2 linked regions of the Tamandua tetradactyla genome follow. Each later gene encodes a partner of the first gene's protein in a complex. Links are inferred from orthologs where the notes say so. Each region holds a gene or a part of one and is shown in the gene's direction. Other genes may lie near its edges.

Region 1 (3,745 bases):
CCAAGCATATACCTAATAATAGGATTGCAGCATCATGTGGCAGCTCTATACCTAACCTCCTGTGGGGCCACTGCACTGCCATCCAGGTGGGCTGCACCGTTTTACTTCCCTAACAGCGGTGAATAGGTATAACCCTCTCTCTACATTTTCTCCAGCACTTGTATCTTTGATTTCATCTTTAAAGAGCTTTTTATTTTAAAACAAGGCCTGTAAAACATTTTTTCTACCTTTGTCATTTCTCCAACTTTATATTGTGTTTTAGAGCTTTGATTTTATATTCTTGGGCTTTGGAGCCATTTCTTACACTTAAATCTAATCTGGCTAAAATTGATTTTGGCGTAAGGAATTAGGGTAGTAACCCAACTGTGCTGTTCTTGTCTTTTAACTCTGACCTGGCTATGGAGGGGCCGTTTGGCGTCATTCTTCTAAGAGGAGACCAGGAGTAGGGAATGGGCTTTGATTCCCAAAGGCCGTCCCTGGTGATGGGTCTCCCAAGGGCAAGGTGTCAGGACATGGGAGCAGCTCCCCCTGCTCTCCTTTGGAGCAGTTCTTCTTTCTGCCTTCAGAAGGTTCCTAGTCCATCATTCAAACCCGCCACGCCACCTCCTCACCAGTGAGGTCTGAGGACTTGGGCAGGACCTCAGAGGACTCTGTGCTGCCTACTGCCCGGCCACTGGGGGAGGGCCAGCGGTCCCTCAGCCACCACATGCTTCTTAGGGAAATTCCTCTTAAATGTGACAGTTCACCCCTGACGACGGCTCGGGGGTCAGTCCTGGGCCCTTTTCGTACCCATTACTTGGAAGAGTCACAATGCCATGTGGACCAGATCGGTAGCTATCGGAACATAGCTGAGCTAAAGCGTGTGATGTCAGCTGGCACTTGAGAGGCTCCCTGCAGGCCGCGGTGATGGACCTAAGGGAGAACTTCAGCAGGCCTCCACGTAAGACCTAGCGTTGTCCAGAAAACCCAGCAGCCCAAAAAACAGGGAGGAGGAGAGCTGTTGCGATGGGGAGGGAGGGAGGGCTTCAGGAAGAAAAAGAGCTGTCAGAGGAGAGGGTCCTGGTTGTGGTTTGTTTCTGTCGCGTCTAAGAAGCCAAGCGCTGTGCGTGTGGCTGGTGGGGGCAGAGCCCGAGTGTGCTTTCCTCTTCTCTTTCAGATCTCCCCATGAGCTACCCCGGCTATCCCCCGCCCGCAGGCGGCTACCCCCCAGCTGCACCAGGTAAGAGGGACTGGGGTGGACTGGGGAATAATAGTGTTTTGGGGCAGTTTCCTCCCTCCCCATCTTCCTCCACAGCACACCCACATAGGGAGGGGAAGGAACCACCAATTGGGGGGCTGGGGCTAGAAAAAGGGCATGGACCCCAAGGCCTGAAGAGGCCTGGGTTTGAATCTGCTTCCAAAGGCAGGGACCGACCCACTCTCTTGCCTTATTAGCTGATGGCACTGAGCAAACGCTGCCCCTTCTTCCATTTTCATCTTTGCAAGATGGCTTCCTGGGTCCCTCCCTGTGCTGCGTGGATGCTTGTTACTGAGGTCACCAAGCAAAGCGTCCTGAAGCTCTGTTAGGTGACAGGTGCATGGTTTTGCAGCCCAGTCCCCCTACAGCGGGAGGAAACGAGGCCTTCCTCGCTGCAGCTGCCCAGAAGCTGTGGCCACAGGTAGCACCGAGGTGAACCCACCTGGTCAGGGATCCAGGCATGGCCCTAACTTCACCACTTTCCACCACACTGAGGAGCCGTCTTCTCTGGCCCTGTTGCCTCCTGTTTTCCTAAAGTGAGATTTGGTCCCCACAATCAGAAAGGAAATGTCGGGGCTCCTGGGACAAGAGGGAGCCCCTCACTCCGGGCTGCACCTGGCGAGGTCCTCGGGCCCAAGCACGATGGGCCCCGTGGGTCACTTGGATCGCCCTCCCACTGACAGGTGAAGGGACAGGCCCAGAGCAGGGAGGCGGCTCAGCCCCAGGCTCACAGCCCAGCAGGGGTCTAGCTGAGCCATTTCTCTGACCCGAGCTCCTGCCTCCGATTTGCTCCCACGGCCTCAGCCCCCACCCTGGTAGGAGTCCAGCCCTCTGTGTCCCACCGCTGCCGCCATTTGTCAGCACAGCTGCTTAGCCTCTGAGCAGCCAGAGAGGGAGTGGGCTGGTGACACAGGGAAGGATCCACTGCCCTGAACTTCCCAGAGCCCAAGAGCTGAGAAGCCAAAACCAGGTCCTTGGGGGGCCTTGTCCCTGCATCTAACCAGTGCACGTTCCCCAGGCTCTCAGCCCTCCTCACAGCTCTTCCAGGGAGGCTAATTAGGCTAATTATCCCATTTGTCAGCGGAGGAGCCTGAGCCCATGGTGGTGCAGTGCCGGCCCCAAGCCGAGTCCCCTGTCCCTGTCTGTTCAGAGCTAGAGCTTTTCCTGGTATCTCCCCATATTGTGTGTTTTCCGTGGTCCAGTGGTGTCTCTCCATCCTCTCATCCTGCCTCTCCCAAATGTGTCCTAGCAAACAGCCGAACTGGCAGGAACCCACCCCACCCCCTGTGCTTCTGTGTCCCCTCTGGATTCTCGAGCAGTCACCTCCTGTGCCCGCCCTGCCCGCTGTGGGAGGGTGACTGCGCAGGGGGTGGGGGTGGGGGTGGGGGTGGGGGGTTGTTCTCAGGAGTGTCCGTTGAGCTCCACTTCCCTCCCTGGAAGGAGGAGCAGGTTTCTCCTTCTTGCTTTGGCAGCAGGATCAAGTCAGGCTTTTCTGTGGGGTGTGGGACGCAGCCCTGTCCCCTCTGCTGGGCCTTGTCTCCTGACCTCCTGGGAGCTCAGTGTCTTTGCTTTTTCCCTTTTGGGGCCACTCGGGACAGGGCTCACGGGCCTGGTGTTGCTTTCAGGTGGTGGTGCCTGGGGGGGTGCTGGCTACCCCCCACCCAACATGCCCCCCATTGGGCTGGATAACGTGGCCAGCTACGCAGGGCAGTTCAACCCGGAGTACCTCTCAGGAATGGTGAGTCCAGCCTCCCACCAAGGCTGCCCCTGTGGCTGGCTTCCCATGGCCTCAAGGTGTCTGTATGGGTCCACCTGGGTATGCCGGGCTCCATCCTGGGACATAGAACTGTCCTCAGGGCCCCCTGCCTACTCGCTGTTCCTGTGTGGGTCTCACTTGTGTCCTTTTGGTAAACTGAAGGGAAGGGAAGGTACAGGGCCCTGTGGTCTCTCAGGTCCCTTTCTTCTTGGGGGTTTGTATAATGCGCGGTGCCTTCATGGAACATTTATTGAGCACCTTCTGTATGAGCTCAGCCTAAGGGCTGGGGCAGGGCGGGAAGCAGGTTATGTACACACATACGCATTTGTATGTGCGAGTGAGTTTGGACAAAGGATGGCTATTCTGATGGAGCCTAAGGAAGAGGCGGTGGCAAGTAGCATAGACAGACATGCTGCTTTAATTTGTTGTTTTGCTTTTAAAATGATGTATTTTATAATCTGAAAACGCGTGTGTGCTCAATGTAAGCAGTGTAGCCAACATGCAGCCTAATTGGTACCAGGCCCAGCTCTAGGCCCTGGGGATATGGGAATAAATCAAGGAGACATCTCAACCCTCCTGCATATGCCATCTACCTGGGAGAGACAGACAAGGAACATTTGAACTGTGCCTTGTTTGAAAACGGGTTGGTGCTGTATAAAGGAAGAGCGTGCAGGAGGCGGCGGGTCTGAAGTGAGGGGGTTGGTGATGTGGGCAGTGCTGTTAAGTTGAGTGGTCAGGCTGGCCTTGCTGAA
Region 2 (3,745 bases), on another chromosome or scaffold:
AACAGAGAAGAGGCCTCCTGCCCAAAGGCCACCGTGGGAATCTGCACAAAGAAGACACCTGGTGCTCACAGGTTACTACGGAAACCTGCTACCAACAAGACATCCTATAAAGCAAGCTAAACCCCACCCACTCAGTGCCCCTCCCCTGGGCATGGCTGCATTAACCTCTCTAATATGTACTCTCTCCTTCTGTTTAATAAATTTACTATTTATTCTTACTGCCTTCTCTAAATTCTTTTAGCTGTGGGACCTGGAAGGGGGCTCAGGTGGCACCATTGCGAACCAGGTACCAGTTACAAAGGGACTTCTGTCCCTTGGAGGTGAGTGAAGGTCATTCATTACACCCCATTCCTGTTTCTTTTCCCTCCCTGGTCTTTCCAAATTGGTTCAGGAATACTCTGGTTGATATGAAAAGCAGGCATCAGAGATGGAATTGTAAGATTTACTGTTTGTCCCCTAGGAAACTGTAAGATGCAAGAAGCTGCAGAGTGCACCCACTTCAGAGCTTTGCTATCTGGGTTCAAATCTGGGCCCCAACATTTCCCACCAGCATGAACGTGGGCAGAATTATTGAATCTCTGTACCTAGGTTTCCTCATCTGCAAAGCAGGAATGATAATATTAGCACCTTCCTTATAAGGGCTGTTGAGAGGATTATACAAATTAATACATAAAGCATTTAAACCATGGTCTGTGTAAACCTTTGCTATTACTGCATTGCACTGAATCTGATACATGATCTTATTTTATGTAACACTAAGAAATTAAGTGTTGTCAGTTGAGCTTAACCTCCCCTTCCTCCCTCAGCCAACCTCCAAACCTAGAAAGAACTTTTGTTTCTAAATAATAGCAATAGAGCTATCACAAACATTATGACGTGTTATTAATTGTAACTGCATCTAAAATTTATACTGATTTCAGAAATGTGAAACAAATGTGTTCCAAAATAGATGGAACATAGTATAGCTGTGATTAGTGGGCTAGAGCTAGTGTCAGCATTCTATGCCTTAGGCACCCGGGTAACTTTATGCAAACTACCTAACCTCTCTGTGCCCCAGTTTCCTCATTCGCCAAGAATGTTCGGTGAGTTAAATATGTAAGTACTTAGAAAGTGCCCGGCCTAAGTAGACACTATCTGGCTTATTACTTAGAAACAAAGTTCTTCTTTCCAGGTTCGAAGTTTGGCTAGAGTAGGGAGGACAGTAAGCACCGAGTTGGCTTTTTAAACAAAGGAGGCCCTGTCCTCTCCCACCTCCCAAGTCGCCCAGGTAAGGAGAACCTGCGACCCCAGCCTCCGCCCCCACTCGGCCCCGCCCTACGGGGGCCGGCCCCGCCCCGCTCTTCCTGGCCCTGCCCCTAAGCTAGTCTCGCGCTCTTTCAAATTGCGCGAGCTCCAGCCGAGACCCAGGGTTGGCGGTTAGTTGGGCGAAACCATCCTCTACGCTACGTGGGAGGAAGGTAAAAGCCTACGCGCCCACGTTTTTTCAGTTTTTAGCTTTTCAAGTCCAACTGGTGATGTTATTTTAGACGAAAAGTACTATTAGCACGCGCAGACTCCAAAGAGGGAAGCTGACTAGCCGGAGAGAGGTTATTGTGTTTCTGTGCGGGGTCCTCCCCCCTGTTGGCGGGGATCCGGTGGGAGAGGATGGCGACGGGCGGGGGAAGGAGGCGGCCCTAGCGCCATTTTGTGAGAGCGAAGCGGTGGCTGGCCTGCTCTCGGGCCCGTCGGTGTTTTGGTTTACCTGTCGGGCTTCCTAGCAGCTTCCTGGAGGGTGAGTTGCGGACGCTTCCCACTGAGGACGCCCTGGATGGCGCTGCTTTCCTATTGGGGTGGCCTAGGCAGATGCAGAGGCGTCAGAGTCCGCCTGGGGAAGGGAGCCATGAGGCCAGGCCTCCCTCGTCCTGCCCGAGTAGGCTCGCGCGGGAGCGGCGTTGGGGGGAGCCGCGGGCCGGCAGCAGGCGCCAGTGTTGGGATGCTGGGCCCACGGGGCCATCCAGTATGAGGCGGAGTGGGTGTAGGGACCGTGAGTTGGCCTTTCTCCTGGCCCGGCCAGTGCTTTATCCCTTAGGCACTTGGCACTCGGGGGGACACTGTCAGCCCAGGCCTAGTACCCCTGCGGCTCCACCCCGGGACGCGCTTAAAAACTCCTCCCTCGGCGGTCACGCGCTGGCTTCTGGGAGGTGGCAGCGCGGATCCGAAGGACTGGTCGTAGCTGTTCCTAAGGCACAAGTTTGGAGAGTCCACGGAAGCCCTAAAACGAGGGACCGAAGGGAAGGGAACTTTTCTCTCTTCACCTAGCTCATTTCTTTTCGTTCAGTCTTCAAGTTTGAGCATTATACATCACTTTCTTAAGGAAACCTATTGTGGCATGCGTGCTCTTTGGCATACATATGCACACGCCTCAACCAGCTTTGATTCTCCCCGGCTTTCTCAGAGTTATTTACTTTTTTTTCCCGGTAGCATATGTATGTCTCGATTGCAACAAAATTACATGTTAACTGTATTTCTGCTGATTATTCCTACCCCTTTGTAACCAAGCATGCCACTTGGGATCGACTGCTTTCATAGTCCTAAAGTTGCAGCACCTGATGCAAAGTAGTTACTTACTGAATGAGTGAACCTAGGACGGTATCGTATTTTAATAGGAAATTGCTTTCCTTGTGCTTGCCTCATCTCTTAGTGATAACCGATAGGTGTAAGAATCAGAGCAGCAAGAATTTTTGTGGAAGTTGTAGAACCATAACCTGGTGATAGGAGTTTTCACCTGATTGTAAGAAAAGTGTTCTTCATGTGAGTGTTGGTCATTCATCTCTCTTTTCACTTTAAGAAAAATAAGAAAAGATGTCTGAATATATTCGGGTAACCGAAGATGAGAATGACGAGCCTATTGAAATACCATCAGAAGATGATGGGACAGTGCTGCTGTCCACAGTTACGGCCCAGTTTCCAGGAGCATGTGGTCTGCGCTACAGGAATCCAGTGTCTCAATGTATGAGAGGTGTCCGGCTAGTAGAAGGAGTTCTGCATGCACCTGATGCAGGCTGGGGAAATCTTGTCTACGTTGTCAACTATCCCAAAGGTTTGTTACCACTTGGTTTTACAATTATGCTGAAGTATGGTGAGGTTGTTTCTCATTCTGAGTCATCCATCATGGCCTCCGTTTATGGTGAAACATCTCCTATAATGTTAGTTGTTCCTCAAACTTTATTAGACTGCTTTGAGTGACAACTAGCCTAGATTAGTAAAAATTGAGAATTGTGGGGCATTTCTAGAGAAAAAATACTGTATTTTTTTAATCAGAACAAGTGTAAACCAGACTGGTGACAAATTTAAGAAACTATTAAAAACAATACAGTCTTCCAAAGTGCCCCCAGATTTGGATTTGGTTGGTCATTGCTCATACAGTCACATCCTTCATTCGCCTAATCTGACATCTTTTATTTTCCGTTAAGTGAGCATCAATTGCAGTACCTCAAATCTTGACTCAATCAGTGTTGGTCCTGGTCTTATTTCTTCTTGCTGCCTCTTCTCAGTGATGTTCTAAATTTAAGAAAAGTAAAAATGAACATTAAGAAAGCTATAGGTGCATTTTAGCAGCAGGAATGCACATATCTACATGGTAACTTTTATTTATAACTTGATATTGCAACAAGATTAGCCCATCAGACTTCTTCAAGATGGAGGACATCTAGAAAATTTTTAGAAGTGCAGTTCAGGTTTTCTTAGGTACGATTTTTAAACCATT

The links.
Region 2: the proteins of ANXA11 (region 1) and TARDBP are in contact, whole or in part, in a cryo-EM structure (PDB 9FOR), measured with the Homo sapiens proteins. The link is inferred for Tamandua tetradactyla from reciprocal best matches to the Homo sapiens genes ANXA11 and TARDBP. Residues at the interface, in NP_001148.1 of Homo sapiens: Gly56, Met57, Ala59, Met61, Ser62, Gly63, Phe65, Asn69, Pro71, Asn72, Leu73; in NP_031401.1 of Homo sapiens: Ala328, Leu330, Ser332, Trp334, Gly335, Met337, Gly338, Met339, Ala341, Ser342, Gln343.

The regions. Positions count from the first base shown.
Region 1 is NC_135339.1:16,846,419-16,850,163, reverse strand, and holds the start of ANXA11 (annexin A11), read left to right. Parts: upstream 1-1,040; 5' UTR 1,041-1,164; coding exon 1,165-1,219; intron 1,220-2,862; coding exon 2,863-2,975; intron 2,976-3,745. UniProt on the Homo sapiens protein: Binds specifically to calcyclin in a calcium-dependent manner. Required for midbody formation and completion of the terminal phase of cytokinesis.
Region 2 is NC_135328.1:214,374,552-214,378,296, reverse strand, and holds the start of TARDBP (TAR DNA-binding protein 43), read left to right. Parts: upstream 1-1,379; 5' UTR 1,380-1,457; intron 1,458-1,482; exon of another isoform or gene 1,483-2,140; intron 2,141-2,827; 5' UTR 2,828-2,841; coding exon 2,842-3,079; intron 3,080-3,745. UniProt on the Homo sapiens protein: RNA-binding protein that is involved in various steps of RNA biogenesis and processing.